3 linked regions of the Oreochromis niloticus genome follow. The protein of the gene in region 1 binds, or shares a complex with, the protein of each later gene. Links are inferred from orthologs where the notes say so. Each region holds a gene or a part of one and is shown in the gene's direction. Other genes may lie near its edges. The genes, in order: coro2aa, gps2 and hdac3.

Region 1 (11,087 bases):
CAACAGAAATCGGCCAGCTGAAGATGGAGAGACAAGACCTGCTCAGAAGAGCTGAAGCTGGGGTAAAAATCATGAAAAGATCAATTTGACATAGATTTTCTGAAGTTATTGATTTAAACTAATGAACCTTTCTCTGGGTTCTCTCAGTCCTCTGACACACTCCCCTCTAGTGACAGCTCATTAGACGCTGCAAAGATGGCTGAACTGGAGAGCAGGTTGGGAGCGCAGACGTCTGAGATGGAGAGACTAAAGGTGTGTGAGAATATGTGATCCTCTAAATCACTTGACCCTCATTTACCGTAATGTTTTTATACTGCATTCAGCTTGGACTTCTCATATATTATCTCTCTCCCGTCTCCTTCCTCTCCCTCTGCGGCTCAGGCAGAGGTAAAGAACCTGTCAGAGAGCCGGGCGGAGCTGGAGAAGCAGCTGGATTCAACCACGAGCACAGTGGCCATTCTGCAGACGGAGAAGGAGAAGCTGCAAACTGACGTCCAGGAGTCCAAGAAGGAGCAGGATGACCTGCTGATGTTGCTGGCAGACCAAGACCAGAAGATCACCAGCTTGAAGAAGAGACTCAAAGATCTGGGAGAGACGGTAGAAAAGCTATTAGCATTTCCTAAATTCACCAGTAAAAAATATATAGTTTGCACTTTGACTGCCAATCTGCTTCATTTATCCAAATATAAGCGAGAAATTAGGTCAGTCCAGTAAAACTCAACAGTAGAAAATATGAAATATCTAATAGCCTTAAATAATATGAATATTTTTGTTAATTTTAGGAATATTTTGTTAACGGCGGGGACACCCAGCAGATTTTGGGACTGATTACTTCCCTGCATTAGTATTGTCATACAGGAAAATGTGTGTCACAGAGAAAATGAACATCCACATGAGGTGGAGCTGCTGTTTCAGCCTTTTGCCTCTAGTTTTGTTCTCATCCATCACCTGGTGACTTCCGCAAGTTTGCACTTTTGATGAATATTCTCCAGAGGACTTAAAACAGAACAAACATCAGGGTAACACTGCTTGTTTGTAATATCCTGTATCACAGACATTAAATTAGCAGTGTTGTTATTGAAACTATGACATATCTCATGATATTGATGTGGCTCTATGACAGTCGGTGTAAAATTGATTTGATTGCAGTTTTTAAAATAGCTTAAATATGTTTTTCAGTTGTGAGAGTTTTGATTAGATAGCCAGGTATGGAGGATTTGAAAGAGCTGGAGGGAAAAAAAAAAGAAGTTGGATTAAGTACAAAATTTCAAACTGTCCCTTGGTTTTTTGTTTTTTTTTTTGTCGTTGTTTTTTTGTTTGTTTTTATCCCAGTGTAGTGTGTATGTAGTCTGATCTGAACTTGCCCCAGATTAGTCAGTCTGATCCAAATAAATGAACAGTGAGTTGGTTCTGATTAGCGAGAGTTCAAAATAAAAACGACCACACTACAGCCTCAATCACACATGCCGAGACAGCAGTAACTAAAATGTGTATTCACCGACTGGTTGGCTAGTGGTTTCCAGCTGTCACCAAGTGAAAATGGCTGCATAGAGGGTGCTGCAGTCTTGCGAGCAGGTTGCAGTTGCCCATAATTTGCATGCAAGTAATTCATGAGTGTCTGCAGGTTACACAGAAACTACGGGCGACCACCGCAATCTGTGGTGCAGCACTGGTTAACTTTATGCACCTGTTGTTGTTCCCCCCCCCCAATCAACTGTGAGCAACCTGCAGCAACCGCTCACCAACTGGTTGGAGACTACAAGTTGTCTCCAGTGACCTGTGTCTGCTGGGTGGTTTCAAAGCCTGTGTGATTGTGGCCTATAGGGTTGAAATGGACTCTTTTTAGTCATTCATCTTATTTTTTTTATTGCAAAACAAACAAAAAAAACCCAGCAAGATTTTAGTGTCTAGTCTTGCACTAAGTATCATTAAAGCTCGTTAGCTGTCGTGGTAGCTTTAGCAGTGAGTAATTATTTAATAGTTACAGAGGAATAGATGCAAACACCTAAGTGCGGACCACTCAGTTCTGTTTCGTCTGTCTGCTTTAGTTAGACTGTGACCCTTTCCTTGCAGGTGGAAGATGAAGATGACCTTGACACCAGGGACCAGACAGACGACGATGACGAGGAGGATGAAGATGAGGACTAGAGAAAAACAATGAAAGGAGAAAAAGGAGAGAAAAGACTCTGCAGAAACGCACCTGAGAAACTGAGTAGGACTAAAATATGGAAGCAGTTTCTCGTCCGGGCTGCCATGCTGTGTTCTTCTTTACCCCGACACGTGTACGTGTTAGTTTTTGGACATTTTTAGTTCAAGATGACGATGTTCTTTCCAAAAACTCAATTTTCAGCGACAGCTGAGAGATTTAAACATGTCAGTGTATTCATCTCTGCTGCATTCACCATCAGTTTGTGATGGATTTTATTAGTTTTGTTGTTTTTTTTTTTTTCTAATGTACTGTCACATAGTTCCTAATCACAGAAAAACCCTTAAGTTAATTTTAACACATCTGGAGAATTTGCAGAAGCAGATTTAAAATGTGTCACCATGCATTCTCATTTTTCCCCATCCTGCACTGCTGCCCTCACCAGTACAAGCACCTGCAGCATTGGCGTCACCTGCACTTCGCCCCCCCGATCAGTTCGAGTTCAGCGTCACAGTTGTTCCATTTCACTGACTGCTCTGCAATATGCTGCAAAACACTGATGGAAAAGATGTAAAGAGACAAAAAAGACATATTTTTGCAACTTTTTGTCCAGTACTGGCATCCAGCTTCTGTATGATATTGTGTAACTTATCACTTTAAGAGGAACATTGAAATGAATAAAGAATCTATCTGTATGGCGGAATAATTGTAGATAAATTAAATTTTACTAAATCCATAATGAGACCTGGCTGTTAGGATTTTTTTTAATTTTTTTTTTTTTTTTAATTCAAGTGTTTAAAAAAATGTTCACGCTGAATGTTTTCATACCAAATTAATAACACTAAATGATTAGTGTCTGTCACTAAAACCTGAAAAGGAGGCATGGTGGGACATCGTACATTTACTGAGAATAAACTGTTGTACCCTAAAGCGTCTTCTGCTAAACACTTTTCCTTTCCTTGGTGAAAAACTTGTGGATCGAGAAAAATGTGAAGGAGAGTTCAGAAGGATTTCTGAGATGGAAATAGCTTAACAATGGGATGATGTGCTGAAACTACAGGTGGACTACAAAATATGCATCTTGGATGCTTCAAACATGTTCTCCTGATTCATGAAAGAAGGAACCACCATGTTGAATAAAAATAAATACAAATATAATATTTTGAAATGAAATGCTTTCTGAGTTTAGTTGTTTAGTTTAACTCCTGCCTGGCTTTGTGTGACTGGAGTAAAACTGATAATGAAAGCTTGGTAAAACTGCAAACTATATTATAATAAAGCACGCTATTAATAAACATAGTCGTCAAAAAAAGTATCCACAGTACTTTATCCAGTGCTGTGACTGAGTACACCCCATGACTCAGTTGCAATGTATGAATTACTGCATGTACTGTTAGTGAATGAGGGAGTCGCTTCTTGTTTAATGCCATACATACAAAGCACCAGTCTCTTAATGATACATAATGCTTTGTCATAACTGCATTTAATTAGGGTTGAGGAAAATCAGCAGCTTCATCAGAAAATGTTTTGGATTTCCAGTTACCTTGGAAACGTTAATAAACGAGCTTCAGTTTAATGGCACACTCCTGTTGACATAAATCCACCATGACGCATGTTTATGATGACGTTTGTGGGAGAAGTTGACACTTGATGGTATTAAACCATGGTTGAAAACAGAATGGGACCTTAGCTACAGGCCCATGTTTTCACAGAGCCGTGCTCAGTTAACATACTATCAGCCAACAACCTTGGCTGATAGTGACGCACACCTGTTTTCACACCTTTGAAAGCTGAGTTCAGTTTCACTAACTACTCTCGGGCCTGATTACTGTCAGTTTTGCTGAATCAAGAAATCACTTAGATTAGCATTCCCCCCCCCTCAATACGTTAAATCATAGTTTAGGAAGGAAGGAGGCAAATGCTTTTTCACAGCAATGCACAAGGATTATTAAAATGTTAAAAGTCCTGCCTCTACAACAGTTGCTTGAAATATTAGAAATTGGTGCCAGCGGATTATTTCCAATATGTATCTAATATTCTTTCGCCCAGTACCTCAGAGAAGTAGAGTCACATGTCAGGGTTGATTTTCCTGAAACAAAGGACAACAAATTATAAAACAGGAAATTTAAAACTTTTAACCAACAAGAAGCACATGCTGGTTAAAAGTAAGCCAATAAGGCAGATGAAGCCATGACTGAGGTGCCATGGTGAAAGCAGCATGAATTACTCATGACTTTTATTCATTACTAGCTGACTGTTAATGAAATTTACCAAAATTAATTTTATTCTGTTTATTTAATATTTTACTCACCGATTATCTTTTTCTGTATAATATAATAATTAAAATTTTTTTTTTACGTGTTAAGGTTATGATTGATAAGGCTTTTGTAATAGCGCTGTTTCACCGCTGGGGGGCAATAAAAACCCTGAAATGAAAATGTGTGGCAGACCTGTCACACAACATGGCATCCATCCCTTTTTTCTTTCTGTTTCTTTAAATTTTCCATATAAGCAATTAAAAATGATCTGGCTTTCAATTTTTTCACCATTAGTCTTTAAAAATTGTTTAGCTTTTACATTAACTTACATTAATCAACATCTGTGCAGTGTAACCGTTAGTAAGCAGAGTTTATATAATGTCCACATACACACACACACTAAACATAAAGCATATAGGATCTATGCAAACACAGTGATATGGATCATGCTTCACTGAGAGTAAAACAACACATCGCCACATTTGCTGACCACATTTCAGCAGCTGCTCTCGCTTCCAGACCCTGGGGCAAAACTGATGTGTGAGTTTTTATTGACAGCTCCTCTGTGTGATCCCTGCTGCCTGCCAGCTGTAACACAGAACACTGTACACGACACGCTCAGCACGGTTTGCCTACACAGAAACCAGGCGCTCTGCTTCAGGTGTGCATGTCAATGAGCTTTACACACACACACACACACCCACACACCACATCAGCAAAATGATCTATGTAAAATTACAAAACATGTGACAGAAAACACACAAACCACACGCACACACATACAAATAAAGGATCTATGCAAATACAGCGATACTCAGCGGGAGCCAAACACGAGAGTAAACAAGGTGCTAAAGCATATTGTTTTGATTTGGCTCTCAAATATACTGAACTGAGCTTCATTCATATGATAACCTGGCTGCTGAAAGGTGACACTGATGGTGATGGACTCTTAAAATAAATGTGCATCATCGATATGTTTTTCTACTTTTTTTGATGAATGAAACTGTAAACTGCAGTTAGGGATGGACACACAGGGTGCTGTTTAGCTGCTATGCATAATAATAATAAAAAGAAAATGCAACCAAGAGCAGACAGATTATAAATCAGGGATGTCAAACTTATTTTGATCTTATGTGTGCTGGACCGGTTAAAAATGCAATTAAAAATAAAATAAAATAAATGTATATTAAAATTAATATAAGACAAAGAAGAGCAATTTCAACAGTACGCCTCAGTTTTCCTACGTGATAAAGGAATGCTGTAGTAAGGTGTAAAACCTGTGAAACTACAGTAAAAGATAAAAATGTATGTCCTCCACATTTTCCAAAGCCGTGCAGTGGGCCGGATTAGAGTTTCCGAGGGGCCGACTCTGTCCCCCGGGCCCTATGTTTGACACCCCTGCTATAATTAAGATTTATTTGATTTTACAGTGGGTGAATAAAGAGCAGGTTAATGTAAACGAAACAGGGCTAATGCTTCCTCTGCTCTTGTGTGATTGATCGTGAAACTGTCATGTTGTGTGTGAAACTGTTAAAATGTTATTTTAACATCGCTTGTTTGGCCTTCAGGCTACTCGGTGTTCATGATAATATTTTTATATCTTTGCACTGATCGACCTGGATTTCCTCGCCCCTCCCTGCCTCCTCCCTCCTCTTCCTCCTCTCTCGTCGCGTCCTGTGCTCGCATCTCTCCTCATCCACCCTCCTCCTCCTCTTTTCTTTTTTTTCATGGTGGCTGCAGTTTGAAGGGCAGAGAAAATGTTTTGGCTGTGAGATTTTATTTATGTTATTATTATTATTGTTGTTGTTATTGTCTTCTTTTTTAAAAAAAATTCCGGGGGACTCTCAAGGTTGAGGCGGGCGTCATGACTTTTAAGTGACCACTCTGCCACAGCAATCGGTGATGTAACACGACTGGTTCCTGCTCCCCGGCTAGTCCCCTCCACCACCAGCAAAGCCAGCACATCCAGCAGGAGCAGCTCCACCGCTCGAGCCTTCTTCCCTCGGGGGAAACACTACCACCTGACGCCACATCTCGCCCCTTATGACCGTCTCAAAGGTGAGTTCCCTTCTGCTCCAACTTCTCGCTTTGTGTTGCTTACTTGCCATCACGCACTCGCTGCGTGTGCGGGTGGGACACTTTGGGGGGGGTCTGAGCTGCAGCCGGAGTTGGAGCTGTGCCATGCGGCTCCACAGCCTGCTCCCAGGTTGGATTTTAGCGGACGACTTTGCGGCAGCCACGAGGTTTGTTTGCACGCATTTCATCCCCCCCTACCCCACACCCCACACCCCACACTACCCCACACCTCCACACTACCCCACACCTCCAACCTCTTGCTTGGTATTTGACAATGTGACGCAGAAGTGGGCAGCGGTTTCTGTTACAGCTGATCGGGTCTCCCCCCCCCCCAGGCACACACAGTATAGCACGACTCCATAGCTCTCTGCTGTTTCTATGTTTGCATGGGTGGAAACAGAAAAACCTGCACTGTCAACTTCACCATATTTAAACGGAGTGAGTACAGTAGTTGATCGAATTGATTATACGTTAAGTGGACACTTTATTAGGTACACCTTGCTAGTCCTGGGTTGGATCTTTTGCCTTCTAAACGGCACAGGTGCTGGAAACATCTCTGAGAGATTTTGGTCCGTATTGACAGGATGGCACATCTATTAGATGTGCTCTGTTAGACTGAGGTTTGGACTGTGGGGGTCATTTGATTACAGTGAAGTCACCTGTGTTCAAGAGACCAGTCTGAGATGATTTGAACTTTGTGACATGGTGTGTTAACTAAAGCAGCCATTGGAACATGTCATCATAAAGGGATGGACATGGTCACAATGCTCAGATAAGCATTTTTCTGTGGCAAAGATGCTCAGTTGGATCTAAGGATGCAAAAGTGTGCTGAGAAAACATCCTTCACACCATTACATCACCAACATGAACCGTCTATACGAGGCAGGATGGATCCCCGCTTTCATGTTGTTTGCACCAAAATCTGACCCAACCATTTCAGCGAGACTCGTCAGATCTGTTGTCCAATTCTGGCGAGCGTGTATGAACTGTAGCCTCAATGTGGTCTTCTGCTTCATGGTCTGACATGCTGTGCTTTCAGAGATGCTCTTCTGCATACTTCAGCTGTAAAGCGTCACCGTTGCCTTTCTCTATGCTTGAGACAGTCTGAAGATGGTGTATGAAAATCCCAGTATAGATCACCAGTTTGTGGAATAATCAGAGCAGCCCGTCTGCCACATTCACAGTCACTCAAATCCCCTTTCTTCCTCGTTCTGATGCTCAGTTTAAACTTCAGCAGGTCGTCTTGAGCACATCCAAGTGTGATTGGCTGATTCGATACTGGGGTTAATGAAAGCAGTTTAATGAATAAAATTGAAAGTAATTGAAAATAGAATTAAATCCATAATTAAGTTTGCTTAAAAAGTATTTAGATTTTCCACATCTAATTATCTTTAGTATTGGAAATTTAGAAGATTTTAGCTGTGAAATCCACATTTGACTTTTTTTTATTCCAGCTATCAGTCCAGAGCACACACATGCTTAGCTGTCATGTATGATGGAGAAAAGCACACCGTCCTGAACATTATCTCTTTTTAATCAAGATAGCTGTCAAGTCAAGGCAACAGCTAAAAATGAGCACTTTCACCAAACAAGTACTGAAAAAAAAGACTGATATTAAAATAAAATTCTGCTTCTTTTTCTTTTATATGAAACAAAATTCAGTATTTAGGTTGTTGGACAAAGCAGCCTTTTTTAAAAAAATATTATTGTTTCTGGTTGTTTTAAAATATTAGCTCAATAGCTCAACAGAAAACAGTTTTAAATAATTGTTTAAAATTGTTAACTGAAGCTTTAGTTTACTTTTCATCTTTGAATAAAAGGAAAAAAGTAATCCCTACAGATAGCTGATTAGTTATCTGGTTAATTTTCAAACAACCGTGTGAACACGTTAGCGTTTTAAATAATACTTTTGTTTTGGAAAAACACTTTAAAGGTGTTTCATTATTCAGGACCTGCGAGTCGCACATTTGTATTTTTTCTTGTGAGCAAACACAAAATCCAAACAGTTGTACACTGATAAAGCTGTAATCAAAATGCTGCAGGTCCCATCAGCGAGTATATTGTGAATAGATTTGGTGTGGCCGTTCAGTGTAAACACCTCCCTGCTTCTAAGTGAAGCCTGTTATTTCTGCTCTGTGGGTGGCTGTACTCTTTCAGGCCACCAGTTCACCAGATTGTTTGGATCCATTGTGTGTTTTTTTTTTTTTTTTAAATTCACTTCTGTCTGGATGGGCGTAAATAAACTTAAGACAAAGAAAAATAACAGTTTGAGAGCTGTGTTTAATGAACCGAGTCTAATGCTCACCACATGTGGAGCTGTGGGACAAATTTAGGACTTTAGTGCCAGTTGGCTCTTCAAGTGTGGCAGTGCACATCAGTTTCACAGAAGGCCGGTCCAGAGCGTGCGCCGTGATTGGACCAAACGAATATTTGTATTATTTCCAGGGGATTTTCAGATGTGTGACTGAATTGTTTTATCAAATTCTTCCTTCTATTTTATTTTTCCATAAGTTGTGGTTAGTTGGTTCAGTGAAAGTCCCATTTAACTGCATTTATTTTCGCAGTTTGATATTGATATTCTCAATTTTCCTGTAGCGTTAGATAAAAACAGAGCTTTGTATCCAAGGTGAATATTTGGGGGAGATGAGACTGCAGATTTTTGTAAGCCTTATCCAGTCTGTTTGGGAGTCACTCTGAGTCACAGCGCAGTGTTTGGAGACAGGTTGCCTCCCACCAGGTGACCTGTTCAATTCCTGGCCCACATATTGAGGGCGTTGGCTCTGGGGAACCAGTTGGTCGTCGCAGCTAATCAGAAAGTGTTGCTGGAAATGGAAAAAATCCATTTAATCAGTGGGCAACCATTTTTTTTCCCTTCCTTTCTTCCCAAGTCAAAACGAGGGATTTTTACTCTACTATTTTTATTCTACTGTGACAGAGCCGTACAGTGTTTTGGTTTTGTGCTCATGTAATGTTTTTAATCTTTTTCAACATTTTTATCACTAACAGCTTCAAAATTAGCTCAAAGAACAGTTTACATTTATTAATGAGCCTCATCAATAATAAACCCAACTTAGGCCAGCCCAGCTTACTGCTTCCAGCTATTGGTAGGAGTCTTTCCTGTGAGATTCATGCAGCTTTACAGGGTTAGCTACATGAGTATCCATTTGACAGGTGAGCAGTTATAAAGTCACAGCTGAATCATGCATTACACAGCAGCTTTCTTCAGGTTGAGTCATGAGTGGTGCCATCAGGGTTTTTTTTTTTTTTTTTTTTTTTGGTGATCATTTTTATTAAAGCCCCTTTTGCAGCTTTTCGGGACCTGACTTTGAAATCTGCTTCTTCTTCTTTTTAAAAGAATTGCGGATTAATAGGTTACAGCTATATTTGTGACCTCTCAAATCAATAAAACAACAATCAAAATATATCAACGGGTATCCTAGCAACCTTGAAAACAGACTTTAAGGTTGCTGATATGGCTAGATAAAACATCGTCACCCATGGACAGACTTTTCACTGTTCAACAGGTTAGGAAATCATAAATGAACTAATAAAAAAGTTTGGTCATCAACCCCGGCGGCAAAGTTGGGTTTGTGATCATTAAATTTATCAAGCCGAAACTGTCAGCCCCACCTGTTAGCTGGAAAGTGGCAGCCCTGACTGTTAGGTGGAAACGATTAGCTCCCCCATGACTCTGACATATTTTCATATTTTCCCTCTGCACTGATTAAACTTAATAGGATCCAAGTTCAAGGCTCCTGTCAGGGCTGACCACAGACACCAGCCTGACCTTTCCGCCCATCTTTATGCTAAGCGAAGTGGCTCCTAAACACTTTCCAAGCATTTAACACTCAAAAAGAAGCTCCAAAAATGTCGAGCTGCTCTGTTTAAAGATGTAAAATAATAGTGTTTAGTTTAAGAATTGACCTCATTTTTTAAATACTTCCTAATGATACACTAACAGTTCGCTGCTCTCCCCCCTTTGGGAATTTTATCAGAGCGCCTGAGATAAACAGCGAGGTCAGTTACCGCTCTTCAGCTTGGCGGGGGCTTGATGCAGATTTCTGCGTGCCCCTGACAAAAAAAGTCTGTAGCTAATGAACAGCGAACATGTTTTGGGGTTGCGCAGAGTTTAAGACTAAAGCGTGTCAGTTTGAGGCACGACTTTTGGTGCCATGCTGTGTGGAGAGGTGTCATGCCAGCTCTCGAGTTGTCTAATTAGGCCTGTCATCCACCTAATGGCCAACCCGCTGCCAAAAACAGCATTAGACTAATGAGTTTGCCACACGTCTGCGCTTGTGTGAAACAAAAATCTCCCGACCACAAATGAACCCTCCCTGCTGTAGCCGGCTTTGAACTCGGGTGAAAAATCTTGACAGTCTCATTTTTAACGAGGTGTTTGTGGGATCTGTAGGCACCACAGGCTCTTCTGTTTAAATCCACTGTAGAGAGAGTAAAAAATCTGCTGCGCAGTTTCATGTTAGGGCCATAAAACGCTAACCTGGCATGTCATCACACAGACTGTTAAACGCATACCTGAGATTCCCTCGCTTTGTCCAGCCTGTGACGTGTGCTGTTTGCTATGTAGATCCTCATTTCCTCAGAATCTC
Region 2 (10,988 bases), on another chromosome or scaffold:
CCGGGGGGAAGAGTTAGCTGTTTGGTTGGGGTCTGGGATGCTTGGCCTCCCTGCTGCTGCAGGACTGGGGGCGGTCTGCTTGTCTCCACCCCAGAGCAAAGTGCAACATCTCCAGGGCCTGGGGGCGGATTGCCCCTTTGGGGGTGATTGTACCTGGACCTGGGGGATGTGAGTGTGTGTACAGTGTTCATTTCTGTTTGTCTTCACATTGGGCGAGTGCTGAGTATTTGCATATGTGTGCATGAGGATGGGAATGCATGTTTGTCTATGTGTCAGGTCGGGTCTTAGACTCCACCTCTCTGGGAACATCTCAGGCCCCCCCAGGTGTGGGGGTCTATCTCCCTCCACCACACTCCCTGCCAGTGGCTGATGCCCTCAGCCATCGGTGCTTTGGTGGTTCACGGTATCCAGGGCTGGGTGCTCGAGTATGTACTGGCTCACTCCCAGTGGCTGCTTTTGCTTGTTTTCTTTTTTTTCTTCCAGCAGGTAATCCAGCTGATTTTTTTAGTGTCTTTTTTTTCACTGTCCCTCTTCCTCTCTCCTTTTCTTGAACTTCTCTTGTCTAGTTCTTTCCCTTTCCTATCCTCCAGCCATCTCTCTTCCGTTTGTAATAACTTAAAAGTTAAAAATAAATTAAAAAATAAAATAATATAATTAATAATAATAAAGATCAATCAAATGGACCACGGCAAAGCCATAATGATCCACTTGGAAAAATAAATCCGTTAGGCATTTTTCTTGGCCTTCAGACAATCATTCTAATTGCTACAGTGCCGAGTGGGAGAGGCAAAAAAAAAAAAAAGAATATCATGTTTAATGTAGATCAGTCAGTGTTTGTCATCAGCTGAGTATACACTTTAATTCTTAAAGTTCCTGCTGTGAAAGAGCCATGAGACTGAAATCTAGAACACAAAGGGGGAAAAAATACAACCAAAAAAATGTATAACCAATAAAGAAAACAAGAGACAATATTAAAATTATCAGCCAACGTTCTGGTCTGAAGCAGGAGAGGGTTGTTTCACTTTAACAGAAATATGTGTTGTAATTTTTAGATATATGCAATCTGTCTCATCACTGTGCACAAAAGGAAGATCATGAGGTTTTGAACCAAAAGGATGTCACATGGATGTGACTCACAGACCTGTGGGTCATATGCGCAATAGGCAGGTGAGTAACTTTTCCTGAGTGTTTCAGGATGTATGAGTGGCAGCTTTGGAGGCACAGTTTGTTTACCAAATGTGTTCATGTCAAAACTTAAAAATTAAACTCTTTTTTAATATATAAACTTATGAATAAAATAACCCAGTAAATTCCCATAGTTACACATAAAGTTATCCTAAAAACAGCATTTAGCAACAATTTGCATAAATGATAAAACTCCTGATTATTTGCTGCTTTCGTCTGTTATGGTGTAATGAGTCGTAAACCCCGAGTAATTAGAGGAAACTTAGTAGGCACTGTGTTCACCATTAAATACGCAGTAACTTATGCTTACATAAAATAATCCAACATGCTGCAGAAATGTGATAAACGTGTTTGGTTCAGGGTTTATCACCGTGCATCAGCGAAACCCGTAGCACAATGAAATGTCGCATGTTTTTCAGTTTCTCCCCCCCAACCACAGACTGCTGGGCCTCGGTCATATGACAAGGACAGATCCCTCCTCAGTGCCCTGCCCAGCGTCTTTATGCGCAGCGGCTGATAAAACATAAAATAGTTCCACGTAAAAGAAAAGAAAAAGAAAGAAAGGCAACGTTGATTCGTAAGCCCTTCGTATACTGTTTATTTCAAGATTGTTATTATTTTTTTCTTGAATACGCGTCGATTATCATCACACAGTCGACGTTAACAGGGTTTAAAACAAGGTGAGGTACGCCCCTGCGAACTACCCTTTCCTCTACGTCATCTTGTTATTGTATCCCTCCGCTGCAGTCGCACTAGGAAAACAGCTGTGGCGAGGCTAAGGCTAGTTAGCATCGTTTGTGTTTGTGTGTCCGCGATTCGAGTCACTTCTTAAGCAACCCGTACCACCGCGGAGTGACCGACTTGTTGTCTGTCATCTCTTTTAAAGATGAAGTTTCAGTACAAAGAAGAGCATCCCTTTGAGAAGAGGCGGTCCGAAGGCGAGAAAATAAGAAAGAAGTATCCGGACAGGGTGCCAGTAAGTAGCTAACGTTAGCTCCTTGACAGCTAGCTATGTTGCCTTGCTGTTATACTGCTGTCAGGCTAATGTCGTTATGCTCACTGTTTTATTTTTATTACTAATGTAAGCTTAATATCTAAATGTGATATTGTAGTGAGATTTTACCCACACAATGTATTGCTTAGTTTGTTTACTGCCACGTTGTAACCGCCACACATGGTAGCTAACAACGGCAGAGGTTAAGTAGGAATTTCGGCCGCTTTGAGCAGGCCAGCAGGTGATCTCCGTGTTATTCTTCCGTGAATCATCATTGGTGGCCAGATAATGGTGGTTATGACTGTAACGGTGGTTACGGTGAAGACATGCAGGTGTGCACAGACTCTTTTAGTGGTCTGTAGCTGGATGTTGAAACGCAGTAGAGCGCCTTAAAATAGATGCTGTCAACAAAACGGGGTTGTTTACGTCGCCCAGCTTCTTGGAGATAAATCATAAAGGCTTTCCCCAGTTAGTCTGGCCTATCGAGACCCTTTGTGTCACAACTATCAGCTGATTTAATGTGGGGATTTTGGGTTTTTCCTGTAAAGTGTGACGAAATTCACTTGCCTTTCAATCGTGATCACTTTTAAGCTTTCGTTTTACAGTCCTTCAGTCGTCGTTTACCATAAACTTGTTCTGTGGCTACAACAAACAATTAACTATCGTAGTCAATTACCCACTGCTTATTTTCTCTATTAATTGAATACCTATTTGGTTACTAAATGGTGAAAACAGTCCATAACAACTTCCCAAAGACCCAGATGACATTCACAGATGTCGTGTTTTGTCTGATCATTTGAATTCAAACTCTCATTCACCATCATAAAATGGTACTGACAAAAAAATGTCACATCAGGTGCTGATTCATTTAAAAAAAGAGGGGGCAAAAACGCTGATTAATTGTGGAGTCAGTGTTTACCGTGTGGGCAAGTGATATTTTACCAGTCCTATTTTTAGACTGGAGAGAGACTTAAAGAGGTTTAGTAAGGAAGGCGTTCAAAAATTAAACGGCACGTCTGATAGCCGGGGTGTAAATATACCAGGTTCTTTCCAACACTGAAATACTTTTTCGAAATATAATCTGTGTTATATTAAACACTTCGTCTGGGTTCGATATGCTCGGCCTCGCTTGACTGACAGTTTGGTACACTCTCAGATCCCTTTTCCGAGACAATGAAGCGAACACCATATTTCACCCTCTACACTTGCAGCCTTTCTAATAAAAACATGTTGTACACCTGTTGTGTTTTTTTTTTTTTTTTTTTTCTTTCTTTTCTTTTTTTTCTTTTGTTTTTCTAACCTTTTAGGTAATTGTGGAGAAAGCACCCAAAGCCAGAATAGGAGATCTGGACAAGAAGAAGTACCTTGTCCCCTCTGACCTGACGGGTAAACATTGCCTTGGAGCATAAAAAGTTGTTTACTTCTATTTTAGAGTGGCAATGTCACATCTGAAATTTCTACTATTACATATTGTCTCTTTCATCAGTGGGACAGTTTTACTTCCTCATCCGGAAAAGAATCCACTTGCGAGCTGAGGATGCGCTCTTCTTCTTTGTAAACAACGTCATTCCACCCACCTCAGCTACCATGGGATTGTTGTACCAGGCAAGAGTCCTGTTAAGCTTCCTGCTCACTCACATGCTCTCACATTATGGCTTAACCAGCATGTTGCCTTTGGTTGTTCCTCTTTAGCCTCTCCCTACATTATTGATATTGCGCTAACATGTTTTTTCTTTTTTCCCCTTCCATCAGGAGCATCATGAAGAGGACTTTTTCCTCTACATTGCCTACAGTGATGAGAGTGTGTATGGGGACAGCCAAAGGGAAATCTGATCCCACTTCAACCACTACCCACCTTTCTGAGACCTCCACATCCATTCATTCATTTAAATATTAAATCCAGCTCAGCAGCCTACAGTTCCCAGAGTGAATATGTCAAATGCACTTTCACCACCCATACATTACCCCTCTTGCATCCAATTCTGTCTTTATTACTCTGCAGTCTGAATTGTATTTGTCTCCCACTTTTCTTTTCAACAGTAACTAAGTGGTCTCATGGCCAGTTCAATTTCTAGTGTCAAACCGATTGTACTTTACTTAAAAACAATGAGAGAGATTAATGAAATAATACTAGAAATAGGCCTTTTTTTTTTTTCTTTTTTTTTCCATTTGTGTTAGTTTGAGCTTAGGCTGAGAAATGAAAGGGAAAGAGAACTCTTTCACTAGGAAAAAACAAACTAAAGTGGCAAAATTTATTTAAAGCATGTTAAGGAGAATTTAGCTTGCTGCCCTGCATTGGACCTTAGCAAGGAGTATAATAGAATTCAGACTAAATTATCATCCTCTGCTTTAAGTGGTAAGACTATTATGTTGACTGCTAATGATTATTGTTGTTATTGTTGTTAATTTTTAGATGGCTTACTTTCTAAGGGTTGTGTAAAGCTGAGTGCAATTTTTTTTCTTCTCTTTTTTTTAAGGGTTTGTTTTTTTTTGTAAGAAAAAAAAAATTACAATTTGAACTCTGTATACAGCTGCGTTACTGGCTCTTTCTCTCTATTCATGACCATACATAATAAAATGTGATGAAATACTATCTGCTGTTTGTCTTTTTTGTCCCTTTGCTACAGAGTAACAAATAATTACACTTTTATTTTTTTAGCCACGTGAGTTGTGCCTTTCAATGTAATGAAACGTTACATTGGTTAATTTGACACTGTGCGCTTCAAGGGAGTTACAAAAGTTACAAAAACATGAACCTGTGATTTAGTTTGTTTTTTTTTTCTGGTTGCGTGGGTTGTTTTATCATATCAGCTTCTGTTGCTGCACTGATAATCTGACTCGCAAAGTCATGCATGTCCACGTGTATGTTTATAATTTTTGTTATATGCAAGGAAGCCATTTGACTCCAACATCTATTCTTTCCTCCACCTGCTTTCTTTAAGGCGTTACAAAAGTAGACTGGTAGGACAGGGACATACAAAAAAAAAAACGGGAAGGAAGCTCTGATGTGGCTCAGTTGGTAGAGCAGGTTTTCTACTAATCAGAGAGTTGGTAGTTTGATCCCTGGCTTCTCTAGCCTACAAGTCAAAGTATGTTTAGCCAAGATACTAAAACCCAATTTGACCTCAGTACATTCATGAAAAGAAAAGTGTTTGGGTGAATGAGACTTGCAGTTAGAAAGTGCTTTGAGTGCTCTAATAGTTGAACAGTTCTGTGTAAGTAGCAAATAACAAAGAAGGTAGTATGTAATGTAAGTATAAAAGAAAAAAAGACAAGTGGAACATGTAATTTACTGTTGTAATTAATGAGGAAATTACTCATGTTTTGCCAATGAAATCAAAGTGGTTAGCCCACATTCGGCACAAGGAAGCTTTGGTGTTTCCTAAGTCATTCCCTTGATAGGAAATCAAATATTTGAACTGTAAAACTGTCAAATCAAGCATCAAGGAAAGAAAACACGACATACACAAAACTGCTTGGAAGTTTCATTTTGCTGACGTCAACGTGAGATTCGCCGCATTGCACTTCAAAACTACAACTCCCAAAGTGCACTTCGAAGCGTGACCGCGTTCTTTGAACCGGAAATGCAACAGCATCCCCGGTCTGGAAATCGCTCCGTCTGTTTATGTTTTGTGGGAGAAGTTTTGATTTTTATCTGTTTTAACCGCTCGAGGTCTATCAAGCTGAAAACCGCCAGACGGTTAGATTCTTATTAAAAGACTCACAACGAAATAAAAGTAAGCTTTTTACAGTTTTATCAGCACAGAATTCAAAGCAGATCATGTAGGATAAAATGCGTAACGCAGTTAAGTGCTCTGCAGCTAGCCTCGCTAGCTAACGTTTGTTCCCGGTTAAGTTAAAATATATAATTTTTGTCAGGGGTTTACACTTGTAAGCTACATCACTTGTAATATTAAATTACTATGCCTTCCGTTGGTGCATTATACTCTAAATATTGTCATGTATTGGGAAGTACAGCTATCTGTGCTAACTTAGGCCGATATCGGCTAGCTAGCGAGGCCTGTGGTTGTTACACCTGTTTGGGTGAGCGTAGATGCACACTTTGATGTAGTTTAATGAACTTTAAATATTTCATCTGACCTTGTCGATTCATTACTGACATTTTGACCCACACCAGCTGGCCCCTCCACTGCCTGTCACAATGCCCGCCCTGCTTGAGAGACCCAAGCTGTCCAACGCGATGGCCAGAGCTCTCCACAAACACATAATGAGGGAAAGAGAGCGCAAGAGACAAGGTGCTCTCTCATTTTGTGTGTGTGTGTGTGTGTGTGTATGCGCTTTAAAAAGTAGTTTAGCCCTAGTGTGTCACAGGGTGTCACATCTGACACCTTTAAGGATTCTTGTAGAAATAAGCAAGCACTGTTAAGATGCTGAGCTGTGTTTGGAAAGGTAATACTCCAGAGCAGCGGTCCCCAACCTTTTTTGCGCCACGGACCGGTTTATGCCCGACAATATTTTCACGGACCGGCAATGAGGTGTCGCGGATGAATACAACAAAATAAAACTAGTGCCGGTACCGAAAAAAAGAAGATTTATTCATAACACACGTGAAAAGACCCAGGAAAACCGAGTTAACGATAAAAACAATAACAAAATAACGCTGAAAACCGATAAAAACCCTGAAAACCATACATTTCACACCTGAACCTCAACTCTCGCGGCCCGGTACCGAACGACTCACGGACCGGTACCGGTCCGAGGCCCGGGGGTTGGGGACCGCTGCTCCAGAGTATAAATTGTTTTTAGCATTTAGCCAATAAAACAAATTAATTAACTTTTCTTGTTCTTTCTTTGTAATTCTGGAAAATTTCACTAAGGTCTGCGTCATCTAGATTAAAGTCCTATGTTTATGCGTGTATTCTTCAAATAATCTATAATAATAATGTATACTTTATTGATCCCCGTGGGGAAATTCCTCTCTGCATTTATCCATCCATGATTGTGATTTACTATGTAATAATACACTCACCTGCTAGTTTGTTAGGTACAAATACATAATCATCCAGTGCATTTACCATATCGACATGGTCAAGACGACCCACTAAAGTTCAAATTGAGCATCAGAATGAGGAAAAAATGTGATTTAAATGACTTTGCTCGAACTATATTACAACCAAGGTGTCACTGAATGCACAACACGTCAAACCATGAAGCAGATGGGTTAAAGCAGCACAGGGCACCGCTCCTATCAGCTAAGAACAGGAAACTGAAGCTACAGTTTGCACAGGCTCACCAAAATTTTGCAATAGAAGATTGACAAAAAACAAAACAAAACATTTGCCGGTCTGATGAGTGTCAGTTTCCACTGCAATATTCAGATGGTAGGCTCACTTTTAGGTGTAAACGGCATAAGAGTATGATTCCATCCTGCTTTGTATCAATGGTGCAATGATATGGTGATTTTTCTCTTGGAACACGGTGGACCTCTTAGGACAAATTAAGAGTCGTCAGCCCTAGTATTGTTGATGAACATGTGCGTCTGCTTCCAGCAGGATAGCACACCATGTCTCAAAACTCAAATCAAATTGAAACTGGTTTCTTGAACATGACAGTGAGTTCACTGTAGTTAAACTACATCCACAGTCACCAGATCTGAATTTAATAGAGCACCTTGGGATGCGGTGGAACAAGAGATTCACATCATGAATGTGCAGCAGCTGTGTGATGTGCCATGTCAACATGGATCATTTCTGAGGAATGTTTACAGCACATCGTTGAATATGTCCAGTGAAGAATTAAGACAGTTTTAAAGGAATAAAGGGGTTCAACCCTATAGTAGCAAAATGTACCTAAAAAAGTGGCTGGTGAGTGTATATGTTATAGCTGTCTGCCTGCAACCTGTTCTTTGGTCATAGATCTAAAAGGCAATCAAAAAAAAGTAGCTACATTATACTCACCTTAATAAATGTACTTTTTTTCAGAGGAGGAAGAGGTGGACAAAATGATGGAGCAGAAGATGAAGGAAGAGGAAGAGAGGAAGAGGACAAAAGAGATAGAGGAGAGGATGTCCTTGGAGGAAACAAAAGAACAGGTTTGAAATGTGACATTTCAGCTAGTCTGTGCTCCCAGCTCTATACAAAACAAAGTCTGTGTGTTCTTACACCATGATTTCCTCAAATAAACATCAGGTGATGAAGATGGGGGAAAAACTTCAGGGACTACAAGAAGAGAAACATCAGCTCTTTTTACAGCTCAAGAAAGTTCTCCACGAAGAGGAGAAAAGACGAAGAAAAGAGCAGAGGTTTCTATATGTACTTCACTTAGTTTGTTGTTTTGTCAGAGGATTGTTAATTGTCGGTTAATCTTTTTGGTCTCCTTCTTTAGTGATATTACAACTTTGACATCAGCGAGCTACCAGCAGAGTCTGCCCATGCACCCAGGACAGCACCTCCTCGGCATTCAAGGCGAGAAAAGTTCCAGGTTCTGCGCCTTGCCAGAGTCGTCATTATTTTTCATATAGTGACATTCTCCTTTTCTCTCCTTCAGGCAATCCAGTCAGCCACAGCAGACCTGCCCCACTGCTCGGAGAAAGGAGCAAACAGCTGTTCCCAGCTGCTGTCCTCCCTGTGAGTAAAAGGAGTGTTCCACTTAAAGAATTCATAAAATATAATACGATCTATATAATATGCTTCTTACAGTGTTTACATGTGCACGTTGTCCTCTTTTAGGCACGCCATTATCAGACGCCTGGCTTCAGCTCAGGCTCCGCAGAGCATGGCCAGTTCAGCGGAGGTCAGGGGGTCCATGAGCCCTACGGAGTGGCTCAGGCTCAGCATCCTTCCAGCTACGCCCCCGGACCCTCAGTGCCAGTCAGTTTCGCAAGCAGCTCTCAGATCAGAGGTAAGATGAGATAAGATTTCTTTGCTGTCAATGTGTACAGTGGTACAGTAAAATTTTGAGTAATGTGTCACAGTGACATGACTTACATCCAGTCATATACACGATAAAAAAAAACTGTATAAGACAGGAAGAAACAGGAAACGAGGGAGTGAAATAAGATGCACATTAGGTGAAGGTGTAAAACAGCAGAGCACAGTACCACGCTGTTTGTGCGTCACAGTTCACAAACACAAATGTGTTATACACTAGTTGTAATTGTGTAAGAGGTCATTTTGTCCTTTAATGTTCAAACAATGTTCTCTAGTGGCACAGTGAACTCACAAAGAAATGAATTATCAGCATCATGTGTGGGATTCCTCCATCTTTACTTGGATTTCAGGAGCTGACATAGAATACAATCTGAGCCGGTTGCAGGCTGCTGTGTCAGGCTGGGCTTGTTGAAGTATAGTTGGGCAGTCCAGAGGGAGGGTATAGCCATTATTCAAAGGTTAAGGAAGGCATTCTAGTAGTTTTAAGGCTATATCCTTATCAGAGTCTTGACAGTAATAAGCATGATACACATAAATATAGCTAAAGTTAAACTAATACATGTAATTGAGTCCATATATGGTTCAGAGAACATTATGTGTGTGAGTGTGTGACCTCTGGTAAGCAGTAGATCATGTATGTGTGTGTCTGTGTGTAGTCTGAGTCATCAAGCTTCATTCTGGGCCTGCTTCAGAGCCCTGTGGGTGTTTGAATTTGAAGAGAAAGGAAAGACTGTCCAACCAATCAGAAGTTAGAAACAGTGCTGGTATTTTAATATGTGTTCATTGGCATAAAGAGAAATGCTTTTGTTGAGCAAGATGCATGTTTGAGTAGGCTGAGCCCATCTCAGCCCACAGGTACCACCAGTCTTAGTTGATTTTGATTGACATAGACGTGTACATCGTGTTTATACAAATCAACTATGAAATCATTTCTCGCACAGTTTGAAACTCTCCGCTCAAACAGTCTAAGCTCTAAACTGACAGTCCAGCCGACAGCTTTCGTTTGTTCAAAGCAGCCTGATTTCAGCCGAAAAATAAAATCCCCCACTGAGTGCGAAGTCATTTTTCTTTAAGCTTGCATTTTTCAAATGTGGATGCACCGTGGAGTCAGCGGTATGCTATTCAGATGCTCCCGTGTGGCGTCAGTAATGTCGGAAACCCGCTGATTGATCATTAAAACAATCAGATCACAGTGAGATGTATTGATTGTAATGACTTTGCCTTTTTCCCCACAGGCGCATCTGCATTTCAAGCAATGCAGTACCTCCCTCACCAGCAGGCTGGTTACCCTGTTCACTTCACCTCCCAGCAAGGTGGGTTTCACTGCTGTAAATTATACCTATGTCTAATTCCACGATCTACATAAAATTCAGAGTTGTAAAGTAACCTGACCATCTTCTGCAGGATACATCCCTGGAGCAGGAATACCCCTGCAGAAGCAGCTGGAACATGCTAACCAACAGTCGGGCTTTACTGACGCAGTAAGACCATTTCAGCTTTAGATGCTGCGATGCAGAAACAGCAGATGTTGCTGGAATATTAGATTATTTCCTGCTGTTTCTATTCATATTAGACCAAACACAAAAATAAACTCTGTGACATGTGATCGTCTAAATAACAGAAGTTGTTCCATTAGCTGATCAGTTTTCCTTCTGTCATGTCAGAGTGGTTTGAGGCCCATGCACCCCCCAGCCATGCATCCTTCCGCCCCAGGTCTGCTGCCCACATCGTCGATGGCGGTCCAGATCCCTACTGCAAAGGTGAACCCCCAAAACACACACACCATTTGTTTTTCATCCTGTGTTATGGGGCCAAGTAACTTGTATATTACTTGTTTTTCTTCTAAACATATTCAGTATAAGTAAAGTCTGAGCTGCTACAGTGTTTATGTTCATTAATGTTCTGCTTCTTGTCTTTCT
Region 3 (11,078 bases), on another chromosome or scaffold:
GAAGGTGCTGACAGCTGAGAATTACACAGCGCTTCTTCCATTCCAGCTTTTCAGTTCTGCTGGCAACCTTGAAATATGCTAAGTTTAAAATACCTCCCCTGACATCCTTTGTGTACTAGAGGAAAACCAAAGGAAGAAAAAAACATTATGTACAAACTGAAAGAAAAATTGTGGAAGAGAGATTTTCCTCCTGATTCGAAAAAGCATCTGGGATTTATTCATATTGACCTCAATATAATCCTTTCATTGTTGGATGAAATACAAGCCAACTTTTTATTGTTAGCTCGCTTGCTATTTTTTTCTGGCCTCAACTTTGACACAGATATACTTTGATATTTCCAATTACATATTATCAGTGTCAGTTTTTGTGGATTTCTGTCTCTTTGCAGTTAAACCTTGATGTTTGCACACACATGTAGGCACTTTGAAACTACTTATATATGTCATATATGTACTTATATATGTCACTGATAACACTTCTGTATGTTGTCTATATTGTCTTGGCGATAACACACAGGGATGAGTTGGAGAAGGCACTTGTCCTGTGTGTGTATGTGTGTAAATCAGAGAGTGTGTGTTTGTGTGCGTCTTAACAAACCGGCAGAGACAGATGCTTGACAGAACAGATTTGGACCCTGGGGCCAAAACAAGCCAGCTAAGGAGGAAGCCCACACACAAGCACATGTGTGCGCGCGCGCGCACACACACACACACACACACACACACACACACTTCATAGGTATACAAATGAAAATCTTGACAAGCCTCTAACTCTGACAAGTGTGACGCAGTTATTAAAGTTTAAAACATCCAAGGTGGAATATTTTACAGGCTGCAGGATCAACAGTGTGTTATAATTGAGTGTAATTTATATATCCAGCAAACAGAAAGGAGAAATGTCACCAGTTGGTAACCAGTGTTGGTCAAGTTACTTGAAAAAAGTAATCAGTTACTAATTACTGATTACTTCCCCCAAAAAGTAATCCCGTTACTTTACTGATTACTTATTTTCAAAAGTAATCAATTACTTAGTTACTTAGTTACTTTTTAAAAACACGATTTACAACCTGAATAGGTGATAAAGCGATAGATCTTTCAGCCCAATTCTACTTTTTCTGCATAATTCATCATACAAAATGTAATCAAATGGAAAAGTCTCTTTTTAAAACTTGTTTTATTAGTTTTAATCTTTTAACTTTATGCATCAAGCAAAAATTAAATTATATGCAACATTCTCTGACTGGAAGAAATTTGTTTAACATTTAAACCTATTTTCTGCACATTCCAGCACATAAAATAAAATATTTTTTTGTGTTTACACTCACTCTTTCAAATAGATGCAAGTAAAACACAGCAGAAAATAAATAAAATCAAAGACTAGCGGTCCTGTTGCTCTATTTTCACCTGTAAAGCAGGACTGGGGTAGGCGGAGGTTTACCCTGGTGCAGGTGTGCCGCAGCGGTCAGTGGAAGAATCCGCGAGTTTCTCTGTGAATTTCACATTACAGTCGTAGTACACTCGCTGCTTGCTTGGAAGATTAGGGGTTTTTTTCGCTGTAAAAAGAAGTTTTCTTCCCACGCACAACGGACACTAATGTTTTTGTCACTTTTTATGGAATCAAACTCAAAATAAGGTCAGTACTTCCACGCTTTAAACGCTGCATGCTACACTCTGTCCCGCACTCGATATATTATGATCTGCAGACAGCTGTTGTCACGAACGTCGCACTCGCTTACGTCACTGTCATGAGACGTTCTCGCAAAAAATCACGGTTTTAGTAACGCGGTAACGCAGCGTTCCTACGTGAAAGTAACGGTAATCTAATTACCGTTTTTGCAATAGTAATCCCTTACATTACTCGTTACTTGAAAAAAGTAATCGGATTACATTAACGCGTTACAAGTAACGCGTTACTGCCCATCTCTGTTGGTAACTTTAGTAAAATGTATTTTAATTCAATTCCCCGCGTGCCTCTTCCACCACACACTCAGGCCTCTACACAATCTCATTTCCTTCAGTGATTTTGGCCTGTCTGCGATTGTGAGTCACATTTGTATATTTATTTCTTAAGGCAAACCTCCCGTCCAGTTCCTGTACTGAACCCTGTACCCTAACCCCCTCATCATATCAGACAGCCCTGTGTCGACTGTGGAGATCTTCAAGTTCCTGGGTACCACCATCTCCCAGGACCTGAAGTGGGAGACCAACATCAACTCCATCCTCAAAAAGACCCAGCAGAGGATGTACTTCCTGAGACAACTGGGGAAGTACAGGTTTCCACAGAAGCTGCTGATCCAGTTCTACACTGCGGTCATTGAGTCTGTCCTGTGCTCCTCCATCACAGTCTGGTATGGAGCAGCCACTAAACAGGACAGGAGCAGACTGCAGCGGACTGTACGGGCAGCAGAAAAGATCATCGGCACCCCCCTGCCCTCCATCCAGGACCTGCACCTCTCAAGAACCAGGAAACGCGCAGGGAAAATCATCACAGACCCCTCACACCCTGGACACAGACTCTTTGACCTGCTGCCTTCTAGCAGACGGTACAGAAGCCTGCAGACCAGTTTCTTTCCCCTCGCCATCTCCATGCTAAACAGATGAACTGTCACATTGCTTCACACTGCCAGACTGCAGCTGCACTTTATGTACATTCTGTGGTATTCATTTTTCTAATCCTGTGTTTTTTTATGTGAGTATTTAGATTGTTTTTATACTGTGGTTTATGCATAGCGTTCACTGTGCCACTCATAAATTGTCTGTTTTACATTGTTGTGCCGGAACCAAATTCCTTGTATGTGTTTGCACATATACTTGGCCAATAAATGTGATTCTGATTTTGTGGAGTTTGGTCTGTGAGGAATTGTCAGAGAGATGGGGATCGACTTCAGAAGGACGAGGAAGGTTGCGTGACCAGTGTCTATCCTGGGACAGGATATTGATGTGGTGTTGGAGTACGAGTACCTGGGTGTCCACATCGGCTGAACTGGGAGACCAACACAGAGGCCACAGAAAGGAGATGAGCAGGCTCCTGTTGCAGAACGATGCAGATTTTCTATTAATCATTAGTCGGTTGTGGGAAGTGCGGTCTGATGGGAGAGCCTGTGACAGCAACAGACGGAACAAACTGATTAAAGCTGGCTCTGTGATTGGCTGTGAACTGAACAAAAGGTTGTCCATCATGAATAGTTGTGATGACTGTGCACCTAGTAGTAGTATTATTAGTATTAGTGTTACTATGTATCTTGATATTGGCTTCAGTCCTTTATATACATTAAATTATTATTGCAAATAAAAAGTTAAATTTATTTGTTTTCAAAATAGTTTTATTAATGATCTCGATGTTAGTTGAGCTCTGCTAAGGAGAGCTTGTTTACTGTAAATGTGATCTTTTAGGAAACATTTGTGTCCCCCACAAGACATGAAACCCCAGTGAGAACTGTTTGTGTGCAATATTATTTTGGGGGAAATAAAAGGAGCTTTAAATAGTGCCTAAAGGTAAATTCTTACAATTCTTAATGATACAGACAGACAGACATATAAATTTTACACCTGTGCTAACCTGTGTTGAACTCTCTGTAACTTGCAACTTCAGCAATGAATAATACATAAACGATTCAATTCCAGAGCAGCACTGCCTTTTAGCTCCAGGCAGAAAAACACGGAGCAGGGAGGGAGACGGAGAGAGGGTGAGAGGAAGCAAACAAGCAGCAGATAGAAAAATCAAACATACCTCCAGAAATTCCAACGCAAAACGACTGACAAGCCAACACACATACTGCAGAGTGAAGGCTTTAGTCGTGCCAGCCTCTCCAGCACAACCCTTAAAATTCATGGATGAACAGCTGTGTCCTTTCCCTCCTGTACAGCAGCCCAACATAGTGTGTTACTACAGACTTCACCACAATACTGCACACTAAACCATTTACCTGCACTAAACTGTATCAACCCCGCTGGTATTTTCATACAACCTTTCGTGCAGCAACACATGCATAGATCATTTAAAATGATTGAATTATTTGTTGAGCAGTTCTTGCCTTTTAATAATATCTCCTGTCTTCCCCTCCTGCCCTCCCTTTTTCACACCTTTCTCCAAAAATCCTTAGGGACCAAATTGTTTTTAGAACAGGCTGTAATGATTTTGAATGCTGTAAAGATGCCTTTTTTTTTATAGTGACTGACTTGGTTTTGGAGCTGGGTTTTTAGGCTTCCAGTGCCAGAAGTTGTTGCTTGGTCCTTACCAGTGTTTGTGGTGTGGTGTGGCTGGGGCCTAGCCCCTTACCCCTAACCCTAACCATGAAAAATGAATGCCTAACCCTAAACCCAACCATAACCCAATTGTAACCCTGACACTAAAACCACATTTTTAGTCTCAAAAATGCCTTCAAACTCGTTCGGACCAGAATTTTGATCCCCATAAGGCAGGGGTGGGGAACCCTAGCCCCAGGGGCCGGTGTCCTGCAGGCTTTAGATCTCACTCTGGCTCAACACACCTGAATCACAAAGATGTTAATACCCGTCCACACACACACAGATTTTTATTTTTTACGGCGGAAAAGAAGGGAGGAAACACGTGGACAAGAAAAGAAGAATACAGACACGGAAATGAAATCAAAGACACTAAACTTTCAAAGCTTCACAGTCTGACCGCATGTTTACTGATTTTCACTGATGCTGGATACAGTGGATACACAGTAACATGTTTCCTTTGTTTTCCACCTCTGTTACCGTCCTTTCACTGCCACGTGTGTACAGTCTGCCTTTAAAAGTAGGGGGAAAAAAGCATTTTATGATGCAGAGAAGCTCCAGCAAGTTCCGCTTCATCATTTTTAAATGAGCAGGTGTTCAAGAATGAAACCGGTGCCACTGTTAGCGCTTTGGTGCTGTTTTGAATTCATCCTCATGTAATTTGTCAGTAAGCTTGCAGAGACATGCTGTCCTGGATGAATAATAGATGCTGTCAAAATCACCTGAATAGCAAAATAATCCTCTAAAAATAGCTCAAAGGTAACTACATTTAAACCTGACACTGCCAACTGATAGCACGCGACAGATTTTAACCAGAAAAGTATTCTAATAGTGTCAGATCAGATTTATCGAACTGTTGTGGCTATTGAGGAGCAAAGAAAATAATAATTGTATATGACATACATAAAAAAGAGGGTTAAAACTTGGTTTGGTTAGGATAACTTTTCTTATCTTTTTCTCAGGTTTGTATAACATTGGGTATACATAGGATTTATACAGGTAAACAGAAAGGAAAACACATCCTTAGCAGGTCTTAGCAGGCAGCAAAGACGTGATATGAGCTATATGCTCAAAACACTTCATAACAATGGAGGTGAGTGCTACTGGGTGTAGCCATTGAAGCAGCTCAGATTAGGCTTCTTTGGGACAGGTGTGATGGTGGTCCTCTTAAAGAACTACAGGTTGAAGATTTCTGTGAACATATCTGCCAGTTCGTGAACACATGCTTTGAGAACACGACCTGGGATGTTATCCGGTCCCGGAGCTTTCTGTGTGTAGTAGTTACACACATCTGCCTGAGGGATCTAAAACAATGTTTTTAACTGCAGAATAATGTACTTCAATTTGTTTTTAAATGCCCTTTTAGCCAACTGCTAAAACTTTTTACACTTACTGATGATCAGTTAATCAAGTGTGTACCTGGCTGCTACTTACTCTCTCAATCACAGTGGAAACAGTATGGGTGCATTGGCTTTTCACACACTGCTTCTGTATTTTCTACTTTTTTAAAATAATAACAACACAGTGTATATCATATGCCGTCTTATGCTTTCAGTCTGAGATTTTATTTTCCTAATTTTAAGACATAACCAAGGGATTTGTATTATGCACTGATATGTAAAAAAAAATATAAGTTTTAATTATGTGTGGATGAGTTTATTAAAGTAAACTGTATATTGTATATACTGTATAACTTAAGCACGTTGCTCAAGGTTTCTTTCCATTCTTTTTCAATTGTACTTCTTTAACTTCATGTAATGAAAAATACAGAAAGCTACTGTAGCTTTCTCTCAATCTGTCGCGGCTGTTTTGGTTTTTTTCTTTCCAGCTCCGTGGCCCCTCCCCTCTCCGTCGCTGCTGTCTCCGTGTGATGACGCAGACGCCTCGGTGTTTACTATGGCGGCTATCTGCTAATTGAAAGAAAAATGCGGGTTTTGTAGCTGCAAAGACGACAACAGTTTTTCGTAGAAAGTCGGGAGACATTGCTTTCAGAATGACCAATAGAACATCTTACTTTTACGACCCAGACGTGGGCAATTTCCACTACGGTAAGTTTTATTATCACAGTGAACCGGCCTACTCAGGGAGCTGATGCTAAGGAAAGCTAGCTACATGCTAATGTGTACGAGACTGCGTTTTATTTTTATTTTCTCAGTTCTTTTCTTTCTTTCTTTTTAACATTTAGTTTTGCGTCACTGCTACACTTTAATATTTAATTTGATTTGTTTATATATTACAGCTGGGCTTTGCTTGCGCCTTTGACCTTAAGATGTAACGTTATTGACGCGTATTGTAGCCCTGTGTTCAGTATCTGCCTGTTAAAGCTTTTATTCGGATGTCTAGGTGCTTCATACGGTGTCTTAAATGGATAACGTGGCGGTTGCGTGACAGTAACAATAAATAAATAAAGTAATATGACTGTCTACGCTTATGCTGCTTTTACGGTGAAGTGATACGCTGTACAAATTCAAACTTTAGTGCTGCAATACGCATGCTCACAGGATACACTTACTGTGCCTGTTTTTTTTTTTTGTTGTTGTTTTTTTGTTTTTTTTTGCAAATTACCTCAAGTATTTATCTTTTGTAACAGCGCATGGATGGCTCTGTTTCAGTGTGCCAAATCTCTTTCGTCATAAATTGTACCAATTTCAACCGTGTTTCTCTTTTAGGTGATTAGCCATAATGTATACACTTAGTTCTTTTTTTTTTTTTAGGCATTTTGACCTGATTAATGTCTGTGAAATGCAGATATAAGCCCTGTAATGCATGAACTGTGTGTTTCTGTTAGGTGCTGGCCACCCGATGAAGCCTCACCGGTTGTCTCTCACTCACAGTCTGGTGTTGCACTATGGACTTTACAAGAAAATGATGGTGAGCGAGCAGTAGTGACAGATACTGTCACGTGTTCACACCTGTTGATGCTTTTCACACTGAAATAACATTTTATAAATCTTGTGTTTGTTTGGTTGGTTTTTTTTGTTAGAAACAACAAGATCATGCTGCAGTCTATCAAATGTTCTTTTTCCCACTAGGTGTTCAAGCCATACAAAGCATCTCAGCATGACATGTGTCGCTTCCACTCTGAAGACTACATTGACTTCCTACAGAAGGTCAGCCCCAATAACATGCAGGGCTTCACAAAGAGTCTCAACGCGTTTAATGTGGGAGATGACTGGTGAGCGTTATCTCGTTCTCATTAAATACGTTTTTATCGAGAAAAAGAATCTGAATGATTTAATGAAGTTTTCACAAGACCTGTGAAAAACTAAGTACACCTTTACTGCTTCCATAGGAATTAAGAACTAAGGACTGTATTTTTCAAGCAGCTATCTTGCTCTTCTTATTGTAAATGTTTCAGTATAAAAGCCTCTCTGATCATCACTGCTGACAAACCCATAACCTAAATATTTCATGTCTGTGTGTTTTAGTCCTGTGTTTCCAGGACTGTTTGAGTTCTGCTCAAGATACACGGGAGCATCCTTACAGGGGGCTACACAGCTCAACCACAAGGTAACACACACACGTAAACCCAGCTGATGGTTTTGGTGCTACAGAGAAAAAAAAGCAAAAACAACACAAGACCGAGGTAGCCTAGGGTGGCATCTGTTGGTTTCATTTTGAATTACAACTTAACGTGTTGACAGAGACACTCATTTATGTGATATCCTTGGGAAGCAGGTTGAGTCATTCATTGTTCTATGTGACCAAGGCTCTCTAGCTGAAGTAAGAAAGAAGAAAGGCCTCTCTTCATGTTTGCAGGAGGGAAAGTATCTCTCTCTCTCTTTCTCCCAGCAGCAGTAGACCTGCTGTTCAGTCTTTCTGTTTGTAAAGGGCAGCTAATCAGAAAAAAGTGAACCTAAAGGGAGGATAGGGGAAGCACTGCCTCTAAACATATTGCGTTCAGGAGTTTTGTGAGAATGTTTTAGTTTGTGTTTAAAAACTAAAATTGTTGCTCATCAAAGACGTTTCTGATTGGTTGTTTTGTTTTCCATCCTTTAAAACCGTCATAGTCTTCTGCATCGTGGTCAGTTAAAGTTGTGAGCTCTAATTGATGCTGACTCTGCTTTATTTTACAGATCTGTGACATTGCTATAAACTGGGCCGGAGGTTTGCATCATGCCAAAAAATTTGAGGTTAGAACAAAGACACATATATTGATGTGTGTCTTCTCTGTTCAGCTCATTTGAGTTAAATGTCTCTTTTGGTTCTTGTGTTGGTGTAGGCCTCTGGGTTTTGCTATGTCAATGACATCGTCATCAGTATACTGGAGCTCCTCAAGTAAGACGGCGCTCCTGAGTAACTCTCCTCGAATCTTTACCGTGTCTGTTGGTGACATAACTCTCCTGCTCTGTGCGTGTTCAAGGTACCACCCCAGGGTTCTTTACATTGACATAGACATTCACCATGGCGATGGCGTCCAGGAAGCCTTTTACCTCACAGACCGAGTCATGACCGTGTCCTTTCACAAATACGGGAACTACTTTTTCCCAGGGACAGGTAAATGCAGCTTTAATTATCTAACAAATGTTTGCTGTCCACATAGTGGTGTTTATATCGTTTGTTATTATTATTTTACTTGCGTGCAGCCCCAGAAGGCCAATTTAAAGGCATAGAAATACTGATGTAGTCCTCTGTCAGCTGTATCAGCAGATAAATGATAAGTGTATTCCAGGCGGGTTTCCATCTGTAGCAGACACTCACAGTAATTTCCTCTAGAGTCATAAAACTGTGAGATATCACTGATGTATACAAATAGGACCATTTATGTATATAAAACAAGCTTCTTGTGTCCATTACGCCGTCTCCTGCTGTCTTTGAGAGAATATAATCTTTGTTAGGATTGAGCTTGGACTTGGCCGTGTCCTCAGGCTGTGTCTGACCCTGTTGTTACGAGCCATTCGGTCCCCATTAAGTTTGTCTTGGACTCTGCCTGTGCTGCCCTTTGTCACTGATTGAGCTGTTTAGCAGTGCTATTTATTTTCTTTTTAAATACGACTCTAAAGTAGTGTTTGTTTTTCTGACCGTGGAATCACTGATTGGAATTAAAAGTCCAGCAAAAACAGAACTTCATCATCAGTTCTTCGCTCTGCTTCCTGTAGGTGACATGTACGAGGTCGGGGCAGAGAGCGGCCGGTACTACTGCCTCAATGTTCCTCTCAGAGACGGCATCGATGACCAGAGTGAGTGCAACAACATCCTCACTGACACATGAGATCACACTTTCTTATTGCTCTGCTGCACTGTTGTGACCATCACACAAGCTTCAACCAACTTGTTTGCATGCTTTGCTTTGTTTTCAGGCTACAGGCAGCTGTTCCAGCCCGTTATTAAACAGGTGGTGGATTATTACCAGCCGACCTGCATCGTCCTGCAGGTCAGTCAGTAGCGCCTATCGTTTGCTTCTGTATGATTTAATCTGTTTCTGTGTGTGTGCGATTACCTCACCTGGTGTGTGTCTGTCTGCAGTGTGGAGCGGACTCGCTGGGCTGCGACAGGCTGGGCTGCTTCAACCTCAGTATCCGAGGACACGGGTGAGACATAAACACAGTTTTTTCCAGCTGAACTCAAATGTTTTGAAACAGCCAGCACACAAGCACTGATAGTTGCAACATAATCTGTGTGTGTGTGTGTGTGTGTGTGTGTGTGTGTGTGTGTGTGTGTGTGTGTGTGTGTGTGTGTGTGTGTGTGTGTGTGTGTGTGGCTTTCAGTGAGTGTGTGGAGTTTGTGAAGAGCTTTAGGATCCCTCTGCTGGTTCTGGGAGGAGGAGGATACACAGTGAGGAACGTGGCTCGCTGTTGGTCAGTCTGATGCATAATTTCCATAAAAACAGCTTTAAGATGATGATGATGATCTGATGATGATAATAATCTGTGCTGTGCTGTGTTGTAGGACCTATGAGACGTCTCTGTTGTTGGATGAATCCATCAGTGATGAGCTGCCTTACAGCGGTGAGCTATGTTTCATGTTTCAGTGAGATTTTAATATCTTTGTTGGATTGTTTTGTGCGTGTTCTTGTTGTCCAGGATGTCATAATGAGCCTGAAAAATGATTTATGCATAAACAACAAATTAAAAACCAGTTAGTAGCTACTCTTAGAGTCACTACATGTGACACTACAGAGGACTGAGGGTGAAACAAGAAGGAAAGTGAATAGAAATAATTGGAACATCCCGTTTGTCTGATTTGGTTCGTCTGCAGAGTATTTTGAGTACTTTGCTCCAGACTTCACGTTGCACCCTGATGTCAGCACCAGGATAGAAAACCAGAACTCCCGACAGGTAAAAGCATCATTCCTCTTTTCATTGGTGTAAAGTGCACAGTAGAGATGCTGACATGCAGTCGGCCGACCCTCTCGCTGTGTTCATGTGTGTGCAGTATTTGGAGCAGATCCGTCAGACGGTGTTTGAGAACTTGAAAATGCTGAACCACGCGCCCAGCGTTCAGATCCACGACGTCCCGTCCGACATGCTGAGCTACGAGCGCAACGACGAGCCCGACCCCGATGAGAGGGGAGCTGAGGAGAACTACACCAGGTCAGCACGAGCCAGCAACACACGTGTATTTATGAAAGATTAGTGTGCACGATCTCACTGTTCATGATGTGACTCTCACAGGCCGGAGGCAGCAAATGAGTTCTACGACGGTGACCACGACAACGACAAAGAGAGCGACGTAGAAATTTGACGGTATTTTTAAAGCCCCACGGTGAAACAAGGAAAGCATTTCTGGAAGGACTCCGAGAACAGACTCCTGTGCATTCTGGTCTTTGTATACACACAGAAACGTGACATATATCAGACGTGCTGCTCTTTTTCTTGTTTCTGCTCCAGATT

What was found.
Region 2: coro2aa (region 1) and gps2 share a complex: the UniProt entries of both Homo sapiens proteins name them as parts of the N-Cor repressor complex. The link is inferred for Oreochromis niloticus from reciprocal best matches to the Homo sapiens genes CORO2A and GPS2.
Region 3: coro2aa (region 1) and hdac3 share a complex: the UniProt entries of both Homo sapiens proteins name them as parts of the N-Cor repressor complex. The link is inferred for Oreochromis niloticus from reciprocal best matches to the Homo sapiens genes CORO2A and HDAC3.

What each region holds. Positions count from the first base shown.
Region 1 is NC_031971.2:17,333,663-17,344,749, forward strand, and holds the start of coro2aa (coronin-2A), read left to right. Parts: upstream 1-6,831; 5' UTR 6,832-6,858; coding exon 6,859-6,918; intron 6,919-11,087. Other genes in the region: uso1 (general vesicular transport factor p115), read left to right, coding at 1-62, 148-252, 382-597, 2,074-2,148.
Region 2 is NC_031967.2:15,820,913-15,831,900, forward strand, and holds the start of gps2 (G protein pathway suppressor 2), read left to right. Parts: upstream 1-5,728; 5' UTR 5,729-5,916; intron 5,917-6,317; 5' UTR 6,318-6,341; coding exon 6,342-6,435; intron 6,436-8,121; coding exon 8,122-8,231; intron 8,232-8,328; coding exon 8,329-8,441; intron 8,442-8,524; coding exon 8,525-8,604; intron 8,605-8,686; coding exon 8,687-8,766; intron 8,767-8,868; coding exon 8,869-9,040; intron 9,041-10,304; coding exon 10,305-10,382; intron 10,383-10,473; coding exon 10,474-10,550; intron 10,551-10,733; coding exon 10,734-10,829; intron 10,830-10,988. Other genes in the region: gabarapa (gamma-aminobutyric acid receptor-associated protein), read left to right, coding at 2,072-2,161, 3,487-3,565, 3,666-3,784, 3,932-4,012. UniProt on the Homo sapiens protein: Key regulator of inflammation, lipid metabolism and mitochondrion homeostasis that acts by inhibiting the activity of the ubiquitin-conjugating enzyme UBE2N/Ubc13, thereby inhibiting 'Lys-63'-linked ubiquitination.
Region 3 is NC_031966.2:33,367,086-33,378,163, forward strand, and holds the start of hdac3 (histone deacetylase 3), read left to right. Parts: upstream 1-6,082; 5' UTR 6,083-6,238; coding exon 6,239-6,293; intron 6,294-7,033; coding exon 7,034-7,116; intron 7,117-7,277; coding exon 7,278-7,420; intron 7,421-7,673; coding exon 7,674-7,755; intron 7,756-8,321; coding exon 8,322-8,378; intron 8,379-8,467; coding exon 8,468-8,523; intron 8,524-8,608; coding exon 8,609-8,742; intron 8,743-9,344; coding exon 9,345-9,425; intron 9,426-9,545; coding exon 9,546-9,619; intron 9,620-9,711; coding exon 9,712-9,776; intron 9,777-9,953; coding exon 9,954-10,043; intron 10,044-10,134; coding exon 10,135-10,193; intron 10,194-10,443; coding exon 10,444-10,523; intron 10,524-10,620; coding exon 10,621-10,778; intron 10,779-10,859; coding exon 10,860-10,929; 3' UTR 10,930-11,078. UniProt on the Homo sapiens protein: Histone deacetylase that catalyzes the deacetylation of lysine residues on the N-terminal part of the core histones (H2A, H2B, H3 and H4), and some other non-histone substrates.